Canis lupus familiaris: one gene and its partners. The protein of the gene in region 1 interacts with the protein of each later gene in a pairwise test. Links are inferred from orthologs where the notes say so. Each region holds a gene or a part of one and is shown in the gene's direction. Other genes may lie near its edges. The genes, in order: CFAP206, TFIP11, SOX30 and C15H1orf94.

Region 1 (5,185 bases):
GATTATAAGGGAAAGGAGGGGAACTGAGTGAGAAAAATTAGGGAGACAAACCATGAGAGACTGCTAACTCTGAGAAACAAAGGGTTGCGGAAGGGGAGGTAGGTGGGGGGATGGGGTAACTGGGTGATGGGCACTGAGGAGAGCACTTGATGGGATGAGCACTGGGTATTACACTATATGTTGGCAAATTGAATTTATTTTTTTTTTTTTTTTTTTTTTTTTTTTTTTTTTAAAATTTTTATTTATTTATGATAGTCACAGAGAGAGAGAGAGAGGCGCAGAGACACAGGCAGAGGGAGAAGCAGGCTCCATGCACCGGGAGCCTGACGTGGGATTCGATCCCGGTCTCCAGGATCGTGCCCTGGGCCAAAGGCAGGCGCCAAACCGCTGCGCCACCCAGGGATCCCGCAAATTGAATTTAAATTAAAAAATAAACAACAAAAAATAAAAGTCCCATCATCAACTATCATTAAAATATGTATATATCCTAAAGATGTTTTGATACTTTAAACAAATGTGATTCATATTTAATTTTTTTATTTTTAAATTTATTTTTTCATGAGAGACACAGAGAGAGGCAGAGACATAGGCAGAGGGAGAAGCAGGCTCCATCCCGGGTCCCCAGGATCATGCCCTGGGCTGAAGGTGGCGCTAAACCGCTGAGCCACCTGGGCTGCCCCCTCATATTTAATATTTAATGGCTATTTTAAACTTCTGTCAGTTTTCAACCAAGTATTCACTTATGCCACCAATTGTGAGAAGGGCATTTGACTTAGGAATGAGTGATGTTAGGTTTTCCTCTTCCAAAATATACCTCAAAGTTAGGTGCAAAGAGAGTCATAATGCCCAGGAAAGTTATCACATTTAGCTCACTACTATCAGCTTGTTTTCTCTGCTGTCTTTATGAGTATATTCCATGTTCAAAAATTCTTGTTTTTCTAATCTTTTTGTTTAGATAAATATTTTTTGTTCTCCCTAAATAATGTTTATTTTTTTAATAAGTACTAATTACAAAACTTTATTTCTTTAGATGAAGGATGTTGACAAACATTATATAAAACCAATTACAAAGTGTGAAAGTAGCACTCAGACGGATACACACATATTGCCACCAACCATTGTGAGATCGTATGAGTGGAATGAATGGGAATTAAGAAGAAAAGCTATAAAATTGGTTTGTAACAATATTTTCTAAAATTATTTATAGGTTGGAGGATTGTTTTTTCTTTAGCTAAGACAGCAGAAGAGATGACTTATTGTATATATGTTACATTCAGCCACAAATGAAAACAGTGTTAGTCCTCAAGCCACAGGTCCAGGGCATAGGACCAAAGGGGACTGTTTTGGTATGAGCAAGGTGGGTTTCTCCAAGATATTGTTGTGATCAGATGGCAATGAATATTCAAGATCCATTGAATCAAGTTCTAGAAAGTCAGCATGCAGTCCAACAATTTGTACCAGTGTCCCTGGCCTCTGGCTTTCCTTGTGTCTGCTCCTGTGGCTTCCATGGGTGTACAAGTTACCTGTTTGCTTGGGCCTCTGCCTCATCTTTCTCACTTCAGTCTGCATATTTGCTTCTTCCTCCACTTGGCTCACTTGGTTCGGGAGTTTCCGAGAAGATGACACTAAGGCTGAGAGCTATAGGTTGGGGAACTTTAATGTATTGTTACTCATAGAGTTAGTGATTTAAACTATTTATTAAAGCCAATAAGTTGTACATGGAGTTCTTCACAAATAATTTGCCAGCTTTACGTCGCAAGATTGTCTTCTAATTTTTTTTATTGTCTTCTAATTTTAAGCATATACAGAAACATGAAACTATTCTCCAATTATACAGTCCAGTAACTAGAACAATGGTAGCTGCTCACTCTTTTTTTGTTTTGTTTTGTTTTGTTTTTAAGATTTTATTTATTTTTTCATGGGAGGCACACAGAGAGAGAGAGAGAGAGACAGAGACAGAGAGGCAGAGAGGCAGAGACACAGGCAGAGGGAAAAGCAGGCTCCATGCAGGGAGCCCCGTGTGGGACTTGATCCCAGGGCCCCAGGATCAGGCCCTGGGCTGAAGACAGCACTAAACTGTTGAGCCACCCAGGGATCCCCCACTCTCTCTTTCTATACCCATCTATTGTGCAAATCTATGAGGTTCTAGCATTTAAAGCACTCTCAATGTCCTCTTTTGGATTTTTTTTTTTTTTTTTTTTTTTTTTTTTTTTTTGAGGAGCAGAAGGTTATCTCTGTTATATCACAGCTACTGTCCCCTCCTGTTGTTAACATGTTCTCTACAGGCATTGATCTCTCTCATCCTTCTGATTCTCAGTCACTAATCATAAGAGGTGCATGCCCTCAAATGATGGTTTTGAAACTCTCATCCCTGTCTGATTCGGGAATTCCTCCCACTCATTCTTTCTATAGTACCTCGTCATTTTAAACAAGTATTTAGAGTCTGAAGGAAATAAACCCTTTTATATCTGTAGCCTTTTCTTAGTATATTTTATCTCTCTCTTTAAAATGGGGTATGGAAATAAACAAAGACTACCCAAATGAGAACAGAGGCGATTTATTCAAAGTTTGCTATAGCAAGGGAGTCAGCCACCATTACTTGCAGTTGGCGGGAGCTCCAAAGTGGGCAGGGGAAGTGGGGAAGCTTTATAGTGAAAAAAAAGGGGAAAGCTTCAGGCATTCTCTGATTGGATGTTGTTGACATGGGAAAACTGGACGTGGGCTAACTCTAAGTGGGAACTTTTATATGATTGGTTTGGTGGGCATAGTTGGCTTTCTCTGGTTGTTCCTTAATTGAATGGTGGAGGCAGCAAAAAATAGGGAAGCTAGTCAAATCCTGCCTCTTCTGTGCTGATAGCTATGGCTACAGAGGTTGTGGGTCAGAGTTCTATTGTCATATAAGGTCTAGCCTTTGTCCATTTGTATATTCTGTGTCTTATAGGCTTTTCACCATCCTTGACATTTTTCTTGCTGTCCTTTCTGGTGGCAGCTTTTCAGTCCCTTGATTTCCTGAGATGAGGAAGGATCAGTTTCTTGGTATACCTTCCAGATCCTTGTTCCTATGAACTACGGAAGAGTAACTGATAGGAATGCTAATATTCCTATCAGTTACTCTTCCGTAGTTCATGAAGCTTCATCCTGATGTTCTTTACTGTCATCTACTAAACTCACTTGAGCCCACTGGATATATACTAGGTAACATAGATATCACTGCTTTGTTCTTCAGAAGCTAATTGTCTCGCAAGTGACATTGATACACTAAAAATATTTCAGTACCTCTTGGTAAGTTATGTAACAGAAGTGAAATAAGAATTAACTTCAGTGACATTTTAAATTGGTCTGAGGTATAAAAAGGCAAAAGAGAAGAGGGGAGTGATGGTTGGATAGGATAGGAGAGGTAGAGGTGCCAGCATAGGTCTGGGCTGGAAATGTTAAGAGAACGGGGTATTTGGTGGGGCTGCACTGTGTACTGACTGAACCCTCTCTTCCCATTCCTCAGCCTCCACTTCATTCTGATTCCCACTGTAGACCTAATTATGCTCTAGAATTATGTTATGTTGAATGCCAGTTCCCCATATATTAGCAATATAACCTACTGATAAGACAAAACTGAGTGTAGTGCTTAAAGCTGTAGGGGGAACCACCACCCTAGCAGAGCCTTGATAGTGTCCTGAGGGGAAACAGCAAGGTCAGAATTTATTGAGAATCCACATGTGGTGGAAGGCAGGTCTTTCAATGCCAAGAGTAGGTCAGGGGATGGGATGAAGGCTTGTACTGGATTGGGTAAAGATCATGAAAAACCCAGCCCAGCAGTAATGGGAATAGAAGGTGAAGATTTATGGGGCAGGGGTGGAAAGAATGTGAGGGCTTAATCTGTGCATTGATGCTTACTACTGAAGGTATGTCTTTCAGGATGTTCTGTAGTGACCCTTTGGCAAGGGTCTCCTGGAGTGGTAAAATCACGCTAATGAAGACAATGGAATAGCCAAGTCATAGTCACTTGACAATAAACTCAGTGTGGGGGAAATTGTTTCAGTTCTTAGTCACCCACAATATCTCAAAATCTGGAATGTGAGGTCTCTGCTTTTGAACTCACAGGCTCTAATGCTTCTGAGCTTTTTTTCTAGGACTTCCTTATTACTTCAGTACATCCTAGTCTCCCTTTCATTTTTTTTTTCTAGTCTCCCTTTCATAAACTTCTTTTTGTTTCCCAGCCTGAGTCCTCTGTTTAACTTCATGTTTACTAGTAATCCATAAAAAGAGCAAGCAGGATGTTGAATACTGTAAAATGTAACCTGAAGACATCGGAACTTTTTATATTAAAAGTCTTGGGTGAAGTCCATTTAAAAAAGACAAAGAAAATCTTAAATTTTTGTCTTTTAAAACAATAAACCAAGTATGGTGGGAAAATCCAAGTTGTATGAATCTCAAAGTATAATAATGAAGGAGTTAGAAGATTGTGTTAACAAATAATTGTGAACTCACTGTGAAGTTTGAATCTGTATGTTCTTTCCTTGGGTCTGTTTTCAACATTTTATGTATTTTCCCACCTCTTGACAAAGGATATTTATTATGTTCTAGTTTTTCTAATGTTTTAATGTTTTGTAGAAAAATACTGTGTTGTAGGGCTAATTTCTCTGTGGATTGAGAAAAAACATGAGGCTGATATTATTTGTTCTTTAGAGATGGGCTAATTCCTGTGTATTCTCTTTCTTTTTAGGCCAATTTGCGTCAGAAAGTTACTCACTCAGTACAAACCGATCTCAGTCACATGAGAAGAGAGAATTATTCACAGGTGTACCCACCCAAGGATGCTAGCACGCAGTCTATGAGAGAAGGCAGCACCCGAGTGCCCAGGCCCCAGATTTACCTAGCTGGTCTCCGTGGGGGACAGAGTAAAATCACTTCTGGGGTCAAGGTGAACTTAACCAGAGCTGTTGATGAGACCTAGTTAGAGACTGAATTTTTAAAGTGGATTTCACTAAGTTATGGACAGTGGCAAATATTGACAAGTATCTTTGTATCTGTGAAAATTAGTTAATTTTGTGGGTCTGGCACATTTATTGGTTGTGTAAATGTTTTCCAGATTCTTATATTCACTGTCAAACTGCTACAAAAAACTAAAAAGTGTTCTCTGTAACACATTTTGCATTCTATTAAAATTGGGAAGTAAAACTGTCTACCC
Region 2 (5,817 bases), on another chromosome or scaffold:
AATGTAGGCTCAGGTCATGATCTCAGGGTCCTGGGATTGAGCCATGTGTCAGGCTTTATGCTCGGGGGAGAGTCTGCTTCTTCTCCCTTTGCCCTCTCCCCTTCCCCCTGCATTCATGCTCACTCATTCAAATAAATAAATAAATCTTAAAACAAAAATATCTAGGTACAAAGAGAACCTTTTTTCCCCCCTTAATAACTTGAGACTAAGTTGCCTACTTGATGCCCTATCACTCCCCTAAATACTTTAATATTTCCAGCAAAGACATTTTCCAGCGTAACCACAGGACGGCCATCAGAATCAGAAAATGAACACGGACACATCACTACCATGGAACTTCAGACCGCATTTAAATTTTGCCAGTTATCCCCATAACTTCGTTTACAGCAAAAAGGTCCAATTCAGAATCAGGTGTTGCGTTTACCGGTCATGTCTCCTTCGCCTTCTTCAGTCTGGAGCACTTCCAGGGTCTGTCTTTGACTTACATGCCTTGGGCACTCTTGAAGATCACAGGCCAGCTGTTTGGCAGAACATGTCTTTATTTGGGCTTGTCTCCAGTATCCTAGTGATTCTGTCCCAGGTATGCATCTTTGACAGGAATATCACGGGGGTGGTGCTACGACCTTCTCAGGACATCCTATCGCACAGTACATGAGGTCCACTTGCCCCGTTGTTGGGGATGCACAGCCTGATCCTGCGCTCAGAGCCTGTACTCCTAGTGACCCCTAGTGACCCCACCGTCCCCAGAGGCCCCTTCTCCAGAAGCCACGTGGAGGGTCCATCTGGTGAAGCAGATCCACTAGCATCAGCCCCTCGTGATCTGAGTAACTGCTGCTCCATGAAGTCAGCTGTAGAGCTGGAGAGAGAGCTACAGAGAAGCCAAGCGAGCTTCTATCTTTGGCTCTGGCCTATCACCAGATGCCTATACATTTCCAGGCCCAGACTCAACACGGTCTATCTGGTCTCCTTGTTTTTCCTCCCTCTGCTCCCTGGTGGAGCTTCTCCTCTGTTAGACTCTCTTCCCCTCCTGCCCTCTCTTCTATGAAACCTCACTTTCTAACATCTTTCCTGACTACACACTGTGTGTCGGCCTCGGTGACACACGTCAGTGGGGACGCAGAGACCACGGGAGTCACAGCGCGTGTTTCGAGAAGCTGGCAGTCGCTTGCCTTCCTGTGGGTTCTGGTTTCATTCACAACGGCGGGAAGTTGGATCCAGATCTTTGACTAAGAGCCGGGTGCGCTCCGTGTATTCTTAACAACTGCCGCTTGCACCTTTTCATCATAGGAAGGAGAGAGAAAGAACGTGAGCGAAGACTAGGGGCTGACACGCCTAGGCAGCCCTGTGCTTGCACATTTCATCTCCCCGGATCCTCAACCATTTTGCAGAAGAGGAAAGCGAGGCTTCCAGAGGCGCAGGGACTAGGGGGGCCCCGGGCCCGGGTGCTTGCGGGGTGCAGAGGCAGCCGCCACTCCCCGGGCGGCCCGAAGCCCTTGAGCCTCGGCCCGCGGGGCTCCGCACGGTCCTATCAATCGGTGAAGGAATGAAGGTCTCGACCACGGGCTGGGGGGCGGTTCCCGGAGGGAGCGCGTGGGGCCCTGGTCCGCCCGTCCCTGCGCTCTCAAGCTCCGCGCCCACCGCGGTGCTCGGCCAGGGGCCCCGACGGCACCCGAGACCTTGCTCCCGCCGGCAGCCTGGCCCCGCGCCCCGCGCCCCCCGCCCCGCGCCCCGCGGCCGCCCGCTGGCCCTCACCGCTGCCCCGTGCGCCAGTCCTCTAGCCCCTTTTACGCAGTCGAGTCTCAGACTGGCGGCGGGGTCCCCGCGGGCCGGGCGCGGCACGGAGGTCGGGGAGGTCGGGGAGGAGGTCGGGGAGGTCGGGGAGGTCCGGCAGCGCGCCCGCCGCCATCCGAGGCCCTGGAAGCCCCGCCTCCTCCCTCGCACTCGGCCCCGCCCCGTTGGAGCCCGGGACGCGCTCGCCCGTCGCGGCCGTGACGAAGAGCGCCCCGCGCCCGCCCCCGCCCCCTTGTACGTCATTTCCGGCGCGCCGCCGCGGGCACATCCGGGCTCCTGGCCTCCGGCCGGTAGCTGCGCTTGGACCCGGGACCTGCGGAGGTGAGCGGGGCGGGGGTGCGGGCAGCGGTGGGGCGTCCCCGCCGGCGGGCGTGAGTGCGGGGGACGCAGCCCCTCCGCGCAGCCTGCTCCAAGCCTGCTTTCGAGCGCCGTCGGCGCGGAACCGAGGCCCGGTGCTGCCCCTGGCTCGTCCGCCCCGCGCGGGCTCTTCGGGGGCCCGGGGAGGCCGAGGCGCTGCGGAGCCCCGAGTGCTCGGGGGCGCTTCCCTTCTGTGCGCCCCGCCAGCGTGGCGGGGGTGCAGTGAGCCGGGGAGCCTGGGGACTAGCGCCCGGACGCGCCGGCCCCCGCGAAGGCTGCTTGCCGCCCGCGGCTGTGGTGACGCCGCGACGCCGCCGCCGACCCGCCGGAGCTGGGGTTTCAGCAGTCCTCCCCGAGGTCCCCTCCCCAACCTACTGATAGTGGCGGTGAGGAACCTGATCTGGGGCTACCGTAACAGCCCTTGCTCCCGGAGCGTTTTTACTCTGAGCTTAGTATTTTAAATTTTTTAAGAAATACTTATTTGAGAGAGAACGTGAAGCGGGGTGGGGAGGGGCCGAGCTGGAGCGGAAGAAGCAGAGTCCCCGCCGAGCAAGGACCCCGAGGTCTTGACCTGAGCTTAAGGCAGATGCTTATCCAGCTGGCCCACCCAAGCACCCCTGAGCTAAGCGTCTTTTAGGCACCACCTCGTTTAATCTGGCTCACAGGCATTCCCAGAGGGTGGGGGTAGAGTCAGCTGAATCTCATCACTCAGCTACCAGGAGCTGAAATCTCTGTTAAGGTAGGGTTTATGCCTTCAGAAGAAGTTCATGTTTTGGGAGGAAAACTTTTAAGTCTTAGGGTCTCACCAAGTAATATACTTCAGGAAGCGTGTTCTAAAAACCATCACTCCCGGTGGTGAACCGCCAAGGGTCCAGATATAGTAACTCTTTCCTCATATTTAGTTGTTGTTGATCCTTCGTTTTGACTCCAGAGTAACTACATTTTTTTGTGAGATTGTAAAAGTACCATTGAAGTTACAACTAATTTAAGAAGAATGGGAGAAGGCCAGTTAGAAGCCTCAAATCTTCCAGCAAACATCTGGCATTCTGAGGTGACAGTGTCCGTGACAGGCGAGCCACCCAGTGCTGTAGAAGAAGAAAAAGAAACAGCTGAAGAACCGGAAAAAGAAGTCCTCCCAGACATCGTAGAGCCACTCTCCATTCTAGATGTGCTGAGGATCTCTGCGGTTCTGGAAGATACTGCAGACCAGCTCTCTATTCTAAACTATATCATGCCAGTTCAGTATGAAAGAAAACAAAGTGTCATCATGGTATTAAAAAAAAAGGGGGGGGGGTTCCAGGAAGATGCCCACCCCGTTTCTGAGGCAGTAATAAGTAGAATAACATACCGAGTTATTTTTTTGTGGGTTATTTAGGTGTGAGTGTGTGTAAAGTTTTATGACCTTGACCAGGACAGGGAATCGCATATTGTTGGGACCAGTCTTTTGTCCCACCTGTTTAAATAGTGTTTGTTTTCTGAAATATGTTTTTAATGTCTGCCTTATTGAACTGTTAACAATGATTTTTAATCATTGGGACTTTGAGTGTGAGGAAGTTTGAAGGGAGTGAGGAGCAGGGACGGAAGCCTACTGCTGCTCTCCCCTCAGGACTTACCACAAACCACGTGCCTTTTTTATTCCTTTCTTTAGTGACCTGTCATGTCACTGTCCCACTTGTACCGGGATGGGGAAGGCCACATGGATGATGATGACGATGAGCGGGAGAACTTTGAGATCACCGACTGGGATCTCCAGAATGAATTTAACCCCAACCGGCAGCGCCACTGGCAGACCAAGGAAGAGGCCACCTATGGAGTGTGGGCAGAGAGAGATTCAGATGAAGAGAGGCCCAGCTTTGGAGGCAAACGGTACTGGCCAGCATGAGACTGCTTCCTCCTCGCTTTAGGGAAGATGGGGGGTGGTGGGAAGATAGCCCACTAAATATACCTTTCTCCTGGCCTTACCAAGTCCTGTAGCTACGATATAAGCTAGGGAGGCCCAGCTTCCTCTTTGGCCGGAGTGCTGCTCTTTTGCTGATTTAACCATCACTTCATGTTTAACGAGCAGTTATATGTACCATGTCGTATACTGCAGCCCCATTCCTTTCCTTCTGGGAGCCCAGACGCTAGAGCATGGAGACACATTAATTGACAGCTCATACGATGGAAGTTTATAACTGATTTAGGACCTGAGAGAGAGAGAGTTTGGCCTATTCTGGGAGGTGAGGGAAGATTTCTCTAGAGAAGTGACTTTTGAGTTTCTATTACAGCAGAAGGTAATGAGGGTGGTAGGAGAGGCACGGGTATGCAGAGGCTCCTGAGGGGAGGCGGTGGGTGTCCACAGGGGTACAGAAAGCTTTGCAGGCTGCGGTGAGGGAGGGAGAGGGGGCATAGTTTGAGAAGAGGTCTGTGGTAGAGCGGATGATGTGGGCTGCACTTACCTTTGGAGAAGACCTGTCAGTGTGCAGAGTTGACAGGGAGCTGCAGGGGAAGAGGAAACTCCATGAGGCAGGAGAGGAGGATTCAGGCCAGTAGTCGTCCTCCCCAGTGTGAGAGGTCATGTGTGCAGTGGCCACAGCTCACTTGACCAGAGCGTGTAGCGAGTTTGGCTTTGTCTCTGTGTTTCGTCTGTGGTTTGTAGGCTCTAGCCCATTGACACTGTGCGTTTTTCACAAAGGAGGCTGGGGAGAAAGTATGGAGGTCAGATCAAGTCCTCATCTGGCAAGGAAACCTAAAAGTGGGTGATAAATAGATCAGAGGTCAGGAATTAACATTCTCTATAACCATAAGATAGTACCTTGTTCTGCACTCTACGTGCTTGGTATCCTTCACCTTGTGAGAAAAGTAGCATCATTATCATTCCTTTTTTCAGATTAAAAAACTGAGGCCAAAAGCACATAACCAGGCTGTAAGAAACTGGGCCTGACTCCTGAGTCTGGGTCTCTACGGCCTAAGTTACATTGCATTGTTTAGGAAAAAATGCTACTGCCATGGGGATGGTTAGTGACAAGTTGGTCATTTTATAAAGGTAACCAGGAAATAGGACATTGTAAGGACTGTTCTTGTGACAGTTGTCAACATTGATACTCTCTATCTCAGAGTTAATTTCTTAGGTATTTTACTTTAGTTTTCATACGCAAATAAAGGTAATGAAGGTGAAACTTTTCTAAGAGTTTGACCAATAAAATTGTTAATATACTTTGCATTCATACAGTTTCTTTTATTGTGTTTGATGATGTTTATCTATCCGAAGTTCTTTCTTGCTTGATTTCTGTACTTGAAACACGGGGTCCAAAACAAATGATTTTAAAGTTAATTTTAAAACATGTAAAAGAGTTGCGTTATCACATCATAGTTTGCATGGTGTCCTTTCACTTTTGTTGAGACAAAATCAATACAGTGTGTAAGATCATATATTGCTGTTTTAATCAACCTTGCACTGACAGGTAACAATGTTACCGTGATCACAGGAAGTCAGATCTGAGGCGCTTTTGGTCTAAGTGAATAGGTTACTCTTGTAAAATGGATCCCTGGAGTTCCCCTCTCGGGGGATCTCAAGCCGGCAGAGTGTCCACAAGGGATCGCTGCAGAAGGCTTCCTTAAGGCCCCCTGGGGGCTGTGTGTTTGCCCACAGGGCCCGCGACTACTCTGCACCAGTCAACTTCATCAGCG
Region 3 (5,185 bases), on another chromosome or scaffold:
CTGCCTGCTTAGCAACCAGAATTCAACATTTAGGATATCTTCATTATACTTCTATATAACTCTCTATGTATATATTTTATTTTTAATCTCAGACCAAAACAGTGCCTGACATATGTTAGTTACTTGGTGAATATTGAATTAAAGGAATGCATGATTTATCATCTCATCCCTCGTACTGCTTTTTTATAGAAATATCTTTGGTTAAAAAGAACATTTCATGTCAGCTACAAGATGAATCTCTTCCTTCTTCAGTAACTGAAATAATATCATTTGGTCTGTGTAGCTTCTTTCCTTTGCCTAGGAAGATCATACTTCTTTCTTGAGGACTAAGAAACCTGTGTGAGAGGTAGATTTTAGGAGAAGATGTCTTGAGTGCAGTGATAATTCAATTATAAGTCAGCCTGGCTTCCTAGTTGTTTAGAGAAGGGAGTTCTCCTCACACCAGATCAGTGGTAGAAGTGCTATATCAGTTATAGATTATTTGTTATGGTTTTTTTTCCCATCTAGTCATAGCTTTCTTAACTATTATTAGCCAAATTCTACACCAAATACTGGGACGCAGACATGAATGAAAGTGTTCCTGCTCTTAAGTTTTCAGTTTTGTGATTGTGGTAGGGATGGCAGACAAGCAAATAACAAAGATTTATACGATTTCGTGATAAGTTATAGATTTATGTGTTCTAAGGGAACATGGAAGAGGGAAATTACTTTATGTTTCATTGATCAGGAAAGTCCTAAGGCTGTACTTCACAGATGGGAGGGCACATAACTCTATAAACTAAGAATCAGGGTAGCTTCATTTAAACCCTATCCCTGTATTGTCTGTACTTCACTGGATCAGGGACCATCTCTGAAACAGAGAGATATATCCCTTAATTCCCTACCTGCAGGTTTAAGAGGAATATTACATTCCTTATCTGGAGAGAAAGAAGGAAGGAAAGGCCTTTGCTGGGCGAGGCTAAGAGAAAATGCACATTCCTCAGCCTCTCAAGAGACATTTCTAATCATAGAATCTGTTATTGAACTGCATCTTCTATATTAACAGAGATCTAGCTGCATTGGAATAAACCAGATCATGACTGTATTGCTATGGCTTCTCTCTCTATTTCTTTGGAAAAGTTTAGTTAACTTTAGGCTAACTGTGTTATTTGGATAACTCAGTAACTCAATTAGTAGTCATCTCTTGTTCAAGAACGTGATTGTTTCACCTACTTTTAAAAATTCTGCCATATTGGTTATGCCTTGCTGCAATAATACTCCTTTCATATCTGTCACAAATTGTTAACCTGTGGCAAATCCTGTTCTGTAATCACACTGACAGTGACTGCAATAAAGCAAAAATAATTTTACTGATTATTTTTTCAATCAAAAAATTAAATGTCATTTATAATTTAGTTTAAAATAGAGAAGTATATGAAATAGTAGAAAAATGACCCATATACCACCCTGAAACATCAATATTTAAAGTAAAGTTAATATATTTAGACAGTAGAAAATTCAAACAGTACCGATAGATACATAATGAAAGTGTAGCTTTTCTTTTTGCCCCATTGCCCTGTCCCTTCTCTCAGATGAGTGTTCCTTCACTGTCAGTAGTTTCATACAATTTTTTAAAGAAACATTCATATATACACATTAGCATTTGTATGTATTTATCTTTTACTCACTCAATTTATTTTTTTTAATTTTATTTATTTATTCATGAGAGAGACACACAGAGAGAGGCAGAGACACAGGCAGGGGGAGAAGCAGGCTCCATGCAGGGAGCCCGATGCGGGACTCGATCCCGGGTCTCCAGGACCACGCCCTGGGCTGAAGGCAGCACTAAACCGCTGAGCCATCTGGGGTGCCCTCAATCACTCAATTTTATTCATTTGTTTATCCATTCAAAAATATTTGTTGAGGGCCTGTTCTGTGCCATACAGAATTTTGAGCCCTAGGGATACAGCAGGGAGTAAAACAGAACAGGTCTTTCCTCTCTTGTCACTTAGAACTAGATGGTAAAGAGAGAGGAAAAAATGTAAAATAGGTGAACAAAGTGACTGATTTGTTCAAATACTATAAAGGAAATAGAGTGGTTTGATGTAGTAAAGTTATTAAGTAAGGTGGTTAGTGAAGGCTTCTGGTTGTACAGTTTATTAAATTCTGAAAAAAGAAAAACATGGATCAAATCAATTAATGCCAGACCTATGCTATTTTTATTTCTAAAGGTGATGCCCCACCTGCCATCCAGCTGCCCACACCTGCAGTCCAGCGCCCAAGCCCCATCTCACTTTTCCAGCCCAGCGTCTCCAGTACTGCCCAGGTGGCAGTCCAGGCTCCAAATCTGCCCCTCCGCCCAGCACTCCCACCCCAGCACTTTGCTGGGCCCTCCCAAACAGACACTCATCGGCTGCATTCTGGAGCCAGTTGCTCTGTGAAGAGACCCACGCCTGTCTCTCTGGAGAACACCAACAGGATTCCAACTAGTGCAAGTACTGCCCATGCCAGATTTGCAACCTCAACCATCCAACCTCCTAAGGAGTATCCCAGCGTTTCCACTTGTCCCAGAAGTGCACCAATCCCCCAGGCTCCTCCTATTCCACACTCACACGTATACCAGGCTCCTCCCCTTGGCCATCCAGCCACGTTGTTTGGGACACCGCCGCGATTCTCTTTTCATCACCCTTACTTCCTACCTGGACCGCACTATTTCCCATCAAGGTAAATGAACATTTTTTTCTTTCACCTAAAGATACAAACAGCTAATGAATGTTTACCTCGAAGGCACCCCTTTTTTACTTAAAAGGTACTTCCTCAATTCTGATTGGAATCTGGTTTAGATTAGAGGCTGAATAGAGGCCAAGCAGTTAACATAAATACATGAAGAAGGCTAGGTGAAGACTAGGACAGCCAATGAGAGTTCATGCCCTATCTAATAGGGTAGCTGCGACTCAGCTGTAGCTGATTGTTGCCATAAGTAATACAGTCTCCAATGTTATCAGATCAATTTTTCAGAAAAGTCAGTATTAAGAGTCCTTAAGATTAGTCACCCCTCTTTATCTTACTGTATAGAGTCGTGCTTCTCAGGCTTTTATATGTATATCAATCACATGTGATCCTGTTAAAATGCAGATTCTGAATCAGTAGGTCTGGGGTAGAGTAGTGTCCTATACCAGAGTATAGTAGGCCTGATATTCTACTTTTCTAACAGGCTCCCAAGTGATGCCAGTTCTGTTGGTTTGTAGACCACACTTTGAATAGAAAGGATACAGTAGAGTGCTTGGTCTGAGAGGTTAAATGACTTGTTCAAAGTTACACAGTGGTCTTTTTAACCAAAAAAAAATTATCATATAAATTATCGGTAAAATAATTAATTTTTATAAGGAAGCACCTAGGGAAAACAAATTTGTAACTTTTTATTTTGGAGTGATAGAATTTAGCTTCCTTGCAAACATTCTAATAGAGTATAACTTCTCTTTTTCAATTGATGTTAAATGTATAAAAAGAGACAGTTTCTATCGAAATTGGAGTGTTATATGTCTATTACCAATCTTCTACTGTTACATATTTAGTACAGTAAAATTATTTCCCACTTAGGCATACCAATAGCTCAAAGAACTTTTCAGGTAGATATTATGTTACTTCAATTCATAGTAGGATCACTTCTTTCAAGTCCTTATTCCAGTTTGCCACAACCATCCCCCATTTTGTAGCTTAGTGATGGTCAAGGGGATGGTGGCCCATGTTCTGGTCTGACTTTTTTGCTGTTAGAGGAGGCAATGCACACCTTTTTTTCTCAAAGCATTATGATTGTAAATTTTTACCTATTTGGTTGCTTCCTGAAGAATTGGTTCAAGGGCTTACCTTTGTTTCACTCACCTCAAAACATTCTCAGGTTTGAGTGGTCTTTCAAGTGGTGTTTGTGGAAAATTTTCAAAGACATATACTACTCACGGCTTTCTGGGGTAAGGGACAACAGATGGGGCAAGTATCAGGCCGACTGAAAGGCCAAGAAGAGACTGGGAAAGAAGGTACATGGGGAAATAAGGGCTTTGAAAAGTTCCCATGTACACTGGGATATCCAGAATGGCACATACATGTCCAGGGCTAGACACATATTAAACAAACACCTGATAAGATGGTAAGCTTTCACCTCTGACTGATTTTAGAGTCTGTGTAAGTAGGAAAAGAGGTCTGAGAAAAAATTGTAAATGGCCTGGCTAAGTGCTGAAGGAGTGCCCCAATTTGGACCAGTCTGCAAAGACTGAAGGGAAGGTGTTTTTTGCTCTGACTTGTTTTGTTTGGCTCTACAAAACAAAATATTTAAGGAAAGCTCTGCCAAGTCACTAGGTTAATGGAACAGAGACTTAAATAATCACAAAAGGCAAAGAATGAAGTCTTTACAAAAATAGCTTAGAAAAGTCACCAATGAAAAACACAAGTACAACTCAAAAGAAGCAACAACATCATACCCTGGGGAAGGACAGAAATCTGATTGTTATAAATACTACATGATAATATTCAAAATGTCCAGTTTTCAACAAAAAAACTACTAGGCATGCAAAGAAACAAGGCATGGTATTTCCAAGAAAAAAACTAAAGAAACTACCCCTGAGGAAGCTCAGATATTGGATTTACTAGACAAAGACTTTAAAACAACTGTCTTGAGCTAAAGGGAGCTAAAGAAAACTGACAGAGACTAAATTAAACCAGAACAGAGTATCACCAAATAGAGAAGAACATCAATAAAGATATAGAGATTATAAAAGGTAACCAAATAGAAATCCTGTTACTTAAAACTATAGTAACTGAAATAAAAAATCACTATGGAGATTCAGCAGCAGATTTGAGCAGGCAGAGGAATTAGTGAATCTGAAGATAGGTCAATTGAAATCATCTACTCTGAGAGGCAGAAGGAAAAAACAGTGAAGAAAAGTGAATAGAACCTTAGGTGGTGGTGTCCCACCATCCGGTATATGAATATAATCACCATGGGATTTCCAGGATAAGAGGAGAGAAAGGAAAAGGCAGAAAGAATATTTAAAGAAATAGTGGCCAAAAATGATCCAAATTTGAAGGAAGATATGAAACCAAGAAGTTCAATGAATAAAGATAAATTCAAAGAGATCCACAGAGATACATTATAATCAAACTGTTACATACCAAAGATAAAAAAAAAGAATCTTGAGTGCAGCAAGAGGAA
Region 4 (4,650 bases), on another chromosome or scaffold:
GTCCGAGCTCCTGAGCCGCCTCCTCCGTCTCTGGCTCGTGCTCCCGCCGCCCAAGCTCCGGGGCTGGAAGGAGAGAAGCCGCACGGGCCTGGCACGGCCTGAGCCCTCCAGAAGCCCCAGCCTTTGCGATCTTTTTTTTTTTTTTTTTTTTTTTTAAATTAGAGAAGGATCCGCAGGGTGAGAGAGGGCTGTCACTGTGCTGGGTCCCCGGGCGGCTTGGACACCGGACTCTTGCTTTTAAAGACGACGTCCAGAAGTTTCCCTCGCTTTGACTGCAGCTCCCTTCAGCGTGCGGGAGGACGGATGTCACCCCGTACAGGAGAGGGTCTTCTGACGTTTGTAGAATACAGTGCCTGCAAAGTAACGAGCTCCCCATCATTGCAGGGATTCAAGCGGACCCTGAGTGGCCTCTTCTTTGCCCTCTCCCCTCCTTTTTTCTCGTGCTCCTTCATTTAACGCATGTTTATGGAGCAGCTTATTTGGCCCAGCCCCGTCCCAGGGCCGAGAAGACGACGCTCGATGAGACCGCCGGGGCCCCGGCTCTTGGTGGAGGTCGGATCCGGGGGGCGGGGGGCGGGGGCTGAGCTCTATGGAGCCTGGATCCCGCTGTACGACGCTGCCGCTGGCCCCAGGCGGCCACCTCAACCCACACCGGTTACCGTGAGCGTGCACCTTCAGCTCCTCGCCCTTTGCGGCAGCCGCAGCTCAAGTGGCCGCAAGTCTCCGCTGGTGGGTGGTGGCCCAAGTACCGGGGGGCTGGGTCGAAGCCGGGGCTGTAGAAATCTCAACAGACCTTTTTTTTTTTTTTTTTTTTTTTAGGTAAAAATGAATGAGGGCTCTCAGGGGCAGCTATTGGCAGGGGATGGGGTGGGGAGGGCAGCGCAGAGAACGGAAATAAAGTCCATTTGCTGTTCATCAGGCTGCTGTCGGCCAACTCGGTGTCCGTGCCGCGGAGGGAGCGTTCGCCCTCCTGCCAACGGGGAAACTGAGGCCCGGGTGACCTGGGCACCTTGGCAGCCAGGCGCAGGGGGGAGGCTCGGGCTTCGCCACAGTCCTCGCAGGGCCTCCCGCACGCCCGCCGCTCCGGGGTTAAGGCTGGGGGGTCCGAGCGAGGCCCCGGAGGTTCGGAAGCAGCGGGCTCTGGTGGACGCGGCCCCTCTCGTCTGTGACCTGCAGGTGACGCCGTACAGCCCACAGCAGGTGGGACAGCAGGTGTTCCGCTCTTCCTACGCCCCCCTGCTGAGCTACATCCCCTTCGTCCAGCCCGGCTACCCGCACCCTCAGAGGACACCTCCAAAGCTGTGCAGCCATCCCCGCGACCCTTCCCCGATGGCGGGAGACGGGCCACAGTACGTGGTCCCCCAGGCGTACGGGTGAGTCCTCAGCCCCCTCCTCGGGTGCACCTCGCTCGCGGGAAGCTACAGGGCCGGGAGGGGAGCTGGTTCTCGCGTTGCAGGGTCCTGGGGAGGGAGGGGCCCTGGCCTGTCCCCAGCCATGGGTGCCGGAGGGAGCTGGTGCGCAGGCCAGGCTGCTCAGGGCCACGGGCCCAGGGGATCCTAGCCACGCGGCCGTGGACGTGGGCACTCGGCCTGCAGCGGGGCCGGCAGTGGAGCAGGACCCATCTGCTGAGGCCCCGAGGCCCGTTTGCTGGGCTCCCTGCGTCGCGGGGGACCCTGAGCTCCCTCGCAGGCCAGTCGCCCCCACATCCTGCGGAGGGTGTAGCAGGCCCAGCAGCGGGGGCAGGGCTTCGCGGGTGATGCAAACCTCGACACACACTTTCCACGACGGCTGTTGTCCTAAATGAAAGGCCGGCGGTCGCCCACTCGCACCTGCAAACCTTCAGCTCATATTTGAGGCCGGGAGGAGGGCGGGACCTGGGGTCCCCCTGGGGACCCCAGTCCCCACACACCCTGGGGAGGCGTGTCTAATCTTGGGAAACTCCGCTGCCGGGATTAGGGCCGTTGGTCCCCAGCCTTCCACGTCCCCGCACAGACCCCCGCTGTGGTGCCCCCCAGGCACCCCCAGACCCTCACCCTCTCAGTCCTGCGTCTTGTAAAAGGACGATACGTTAGCGAGAGGTTTCTGTGGTCAGGATGCTTGGGAAGAGCTGAGGGAAACACAGGTGAATGGGTTTCTTACCCATCGGGGCCCTCAGATGGCTTCATTGCTGAAGTGTCTGGGAAATGTTCCTGGGGTGGGGTCGGTGGCCTCACCTGAGCCCCAAATCCACAGCCCATTTTCTTTCTCCTTTTCTCTTTTTCCTCCCTCCTTCCTCCCTCCCCATCTTTTCTGCTTCTCCTACCGCAGACGAGGGTGCATGTCATCTGCACCCCCTGCCCCCCAAGCTCTGTGTCGGGTCCTGTGGTTGATGGGGATGTAGCCTGCAGGGAACCCACAGCGGACTAGGACGAGGTTCCTCCCTTCAGAGACTGAGTGGCTGAGATGTGGGGAGCACCCCGGGGCCCGGGGCGGTGGCATGACCCGCTGTTTGGGGGGGGGGGTGGACCTGCGAGGCCCCAGGGAGCAGCCGTGGGAGGAGGGGAGGGGGGTGCAGCCCTCACAGGGGGGTGCAGCCCTCACACGGATGGACACAAGCATGAGGCTGGGGCAGCAGAGGTGTGTGCTTGAAGTATTTGATTTACCCCTAAAAAGGTGGAAAATAGGATTAGAAAGGGAGGTTGGGTTTGGGTGTTAAACGCTCTGACTGGGAGGCCCGGGGCCTGCAGCCTGGTGCACCCTGGGTGGCGCAGCGGTTTAGCGCCTGCCTTTGGCCCAGGGCGCGATCCTGGAAACCTGGGATCGAATCTCACGTCGGGCTCCCGGTGCATGGAGCCTGCTTCTCCCTCTGCCTATGTCTCTGCCTCTCTCTCTCTCTCTCCCCCATCCTCTCTCTCTGTGTGACTATCATAAATAAATAAAAATTTAATAAATAAAAATTTAAAAAAAAAAAAAAAAAAGCACCACCGCGGGGAAGGAGGGGAGGAGGGCCCCCACCCGGGCCCTGGCTGCGGGCAGAGATGCTGGGCGCTGGAGGATGGTGCCATGGGGGAGGCATAGTCGGCAGGGTGGGCGGTGGCCGAAGGGGCTGGGGACGCCAGGGAAGGGGCGCGGCGCAGGCCGCATGCTCCCCCAAGAGCATGACTGGTCGTGGGCAGCGCTTCCTGGAGGGAAGGAAGGAGCGAGGCAAAAGGCCTTCTTGGTCTCCTTCACGGGGAGCAATAAGGCAGCAGGAAAGGAAGGCAGGGGCCGGGGGAGGACGGAGAATGAGGGAGGGCCACCTCCGGAGCTGGGTCTGAATGAAGCGACAGGTACATAGGGGAGCTGTGCGTCGGGGTAGTGGCCCCGAGGTGGGAGGTGGGCCTGCAGCCGGAGCCCTGGGGGGGGGAGGAGGGGGAGTGGCCGCGGGAGCAGGGGCAGCAGGGCCTGGGGGGCACGGCCAGGCGTCGGGTCAGGCCCTGGGGAGCTGGTGAAACTTCCCCGGGTGGGGGTGAGGTGGCCTGCACCGAGTCTGCACCAGGAGCGGGGCTCAGGCAGGGGTGCAGGCCTACCCCGCTGGGCTGCTGTAGGGGGGCGGGGCATGGGGGGCAGAGGAGGAGGCATTTCCTGGAGGATGTGGGGGGAGCAGGGCTGGGGGAACCACTCGAGGCCATTGGGGGGACGGGGGATGAGGGCGTCGGGGATGGCGTGGCTGGGGGACGGGCAGGGGCAGGGGAGAGGCCGGTGGGAGGAGCAGGGCTCCGGGGATGAGGCGGCCCCCCTACCCCTCCTGGCCTCTCTCTGTGAGCTCTTGGCTCTTTGTCATGGTCCAACACCCCCTACCCCCGCTTCCATACCCCCTTTGCCCCCCTATTCCCTCCTCCCCCACTCCCTCCAGCTCCTCCTCTCCCACCCCTCCCCCTCCTCCTCTGCTCCCCCCCCCCCCCCCCCCCCCCCCCCGCTCCTCCTGTCCTCTTCCCTCCCTTGCCTCTCCCCCGCCCCCTCACCCCCTCCCTTCCCACTCACCTTCCCCCCTCCCTGCCCCATCCATTACCATGCCCTTACCTCCCACACATAACAAGCTCGAGGGTGAAAGGAGCACAGGTCCTAGTGGCACAGGCAGTGCCAGCGGGGAGGCTGCTGCCGGCAACCATGCCCCAGGCCAGGGCGCTGGTGCTCTTCCTCCAGGAAGCCTTCCCTGATGCCCCTCGCCCCCAGGACCCCCGGCTCCCTCTGACACTCTGGCGAGTGTCGTGTGCAGACCAGGCCCCGGGCAGGTGAGCCCCCCAGAGCATCCCCCACCCCCCCGCCGGGTGGCCTGGCTGCGCGGGGACGTGGCATCAGCGGTCAGGCGTGTCCCCAGTGATTCATTACCGATGGTTATTAGGCTGAGGTGCGGGTTCCAGTTTTTGTTTCATAAACCAGCACAGAATCCGGGGCGTCCTGGCCCGACCTGAGTCTCCATCAGTTCCTTTGAGTGTGAGTTTGGGGCAGAGGGAGGAAGGGCTGGGGGTGAGGAGGGGGGCGCCAGCAGAGGCCCCTCCTCGTGCCAGGTCCTGGGCTGCACACCAGGCGGATATCGTCCCCGCTCTCTTGGGATTTACTTAGTGAAAAGCGAATCAAACTAACCCGAAGCCCAGCTTGCCCCAGCCCCTCAGGGCGCCGGTTTGTTCC

The links.
Region 2: the proteins of CFAP206 (region 1) and TFIP11 interact in binary tests that used the Homo sapiens proteins (3 or more experiments, as listed by UniProt). The two-hybrid records come from large-scale screens. The link is inferred for Canis lupus familiaris from reciprocal best matches to the Homo sapiens genes CFAP206 and TFIP11.
Region 3: the proteins of CFAP206 (region 1) and SOX30 interact in binary tests that used the Homo sapiens proteins (3 or more experiments, as listed by UniProt). The two-hybrid records come from large-scale screens. The link is inferred for Canis lupus familiaris from reciprocal best matches to the Homo sapiens genes CFAP206 and SOX30.
Region 4: the proteins of CFAP206 (region 1) and C15H1orf94 interact in binary tests that used the Homo sapiens proteins (3 or more experiments, as listed by UniProt). The two-hybrid records come from large-scale screens. The link is inferred for Canis lupus familiaris from reciprocal best matches to the Homo sapiens genes CFAP206 and C1orf94.

What each region holds. Positions count from the first base shown.
Region 1 is NC_049233.1:47,171,061-47,176,245, forward strand, and holds the end of CFAP206 (cilia- and flagella-associated protein 206), read left to right. Parts: intron 1-1,030; coding exon 1,031-1,174; intron 1,175-4,720; coding exon 4,721-4,951; 3' UTR 4,952-5,175; downstream 5,176-5,185. UniProt on the Homo sapiens protein: Essential for sperm motility and is involved in the regulation of the beating frequency of motile cilia on the epithelial cells of the respiratory tract. Required for the establishment of radial spokes in sperm flagella.
Region 2 is NC_049247.1:20,594,519-20,600,335, reverse strand, and holds the start of TFIP11 (tuftelin-interacting protein 11), read left to right. Parts: upstream 1-2,059; 5' UTR 2,060-2,112; intron 2,113-3,796; 5' UTR 3,797-3,805; coding exon 3,806-4,014; intron 4,015-5,779; coding exon 5,780-5,817. UniProt on the Homo sapiens protein: Involved in pre-mRNA splicing, specifically in spliceosome disassembly during late-stage splicing events. Intron turnover seems to proceed through reactions in two lariat-intron associated complexes termed Intron Large (IL) and Intron Small (IS).
Region 3 is NC_049225.1:53,482,175-53,487,359, forward strand, and holds part of SOX30 (transcription factor SOX-30), read left to right. Parts: intron 1-2,210; coding exon 2,211-2,703; intron 2,704-5,185. UniProt on the Homo sapiens protein: Acts both as a transcriptional activator and a repressor. Binds to the DNA sequence 5'-ACAAT-3' and shows a preference for guanine residues surrounding this core motif. Binds to its own promoter and activates its own transcription.
Region 4 is NC_049236.1:7,727,505-7,732,154, reverse strand, and holds part of C15H1orf94 (uncharacterized protein C1orf94 homolog), read left to right. Parts: intron 1-1,176; coding exon 1,177-1,373; intron 1,374-4,650.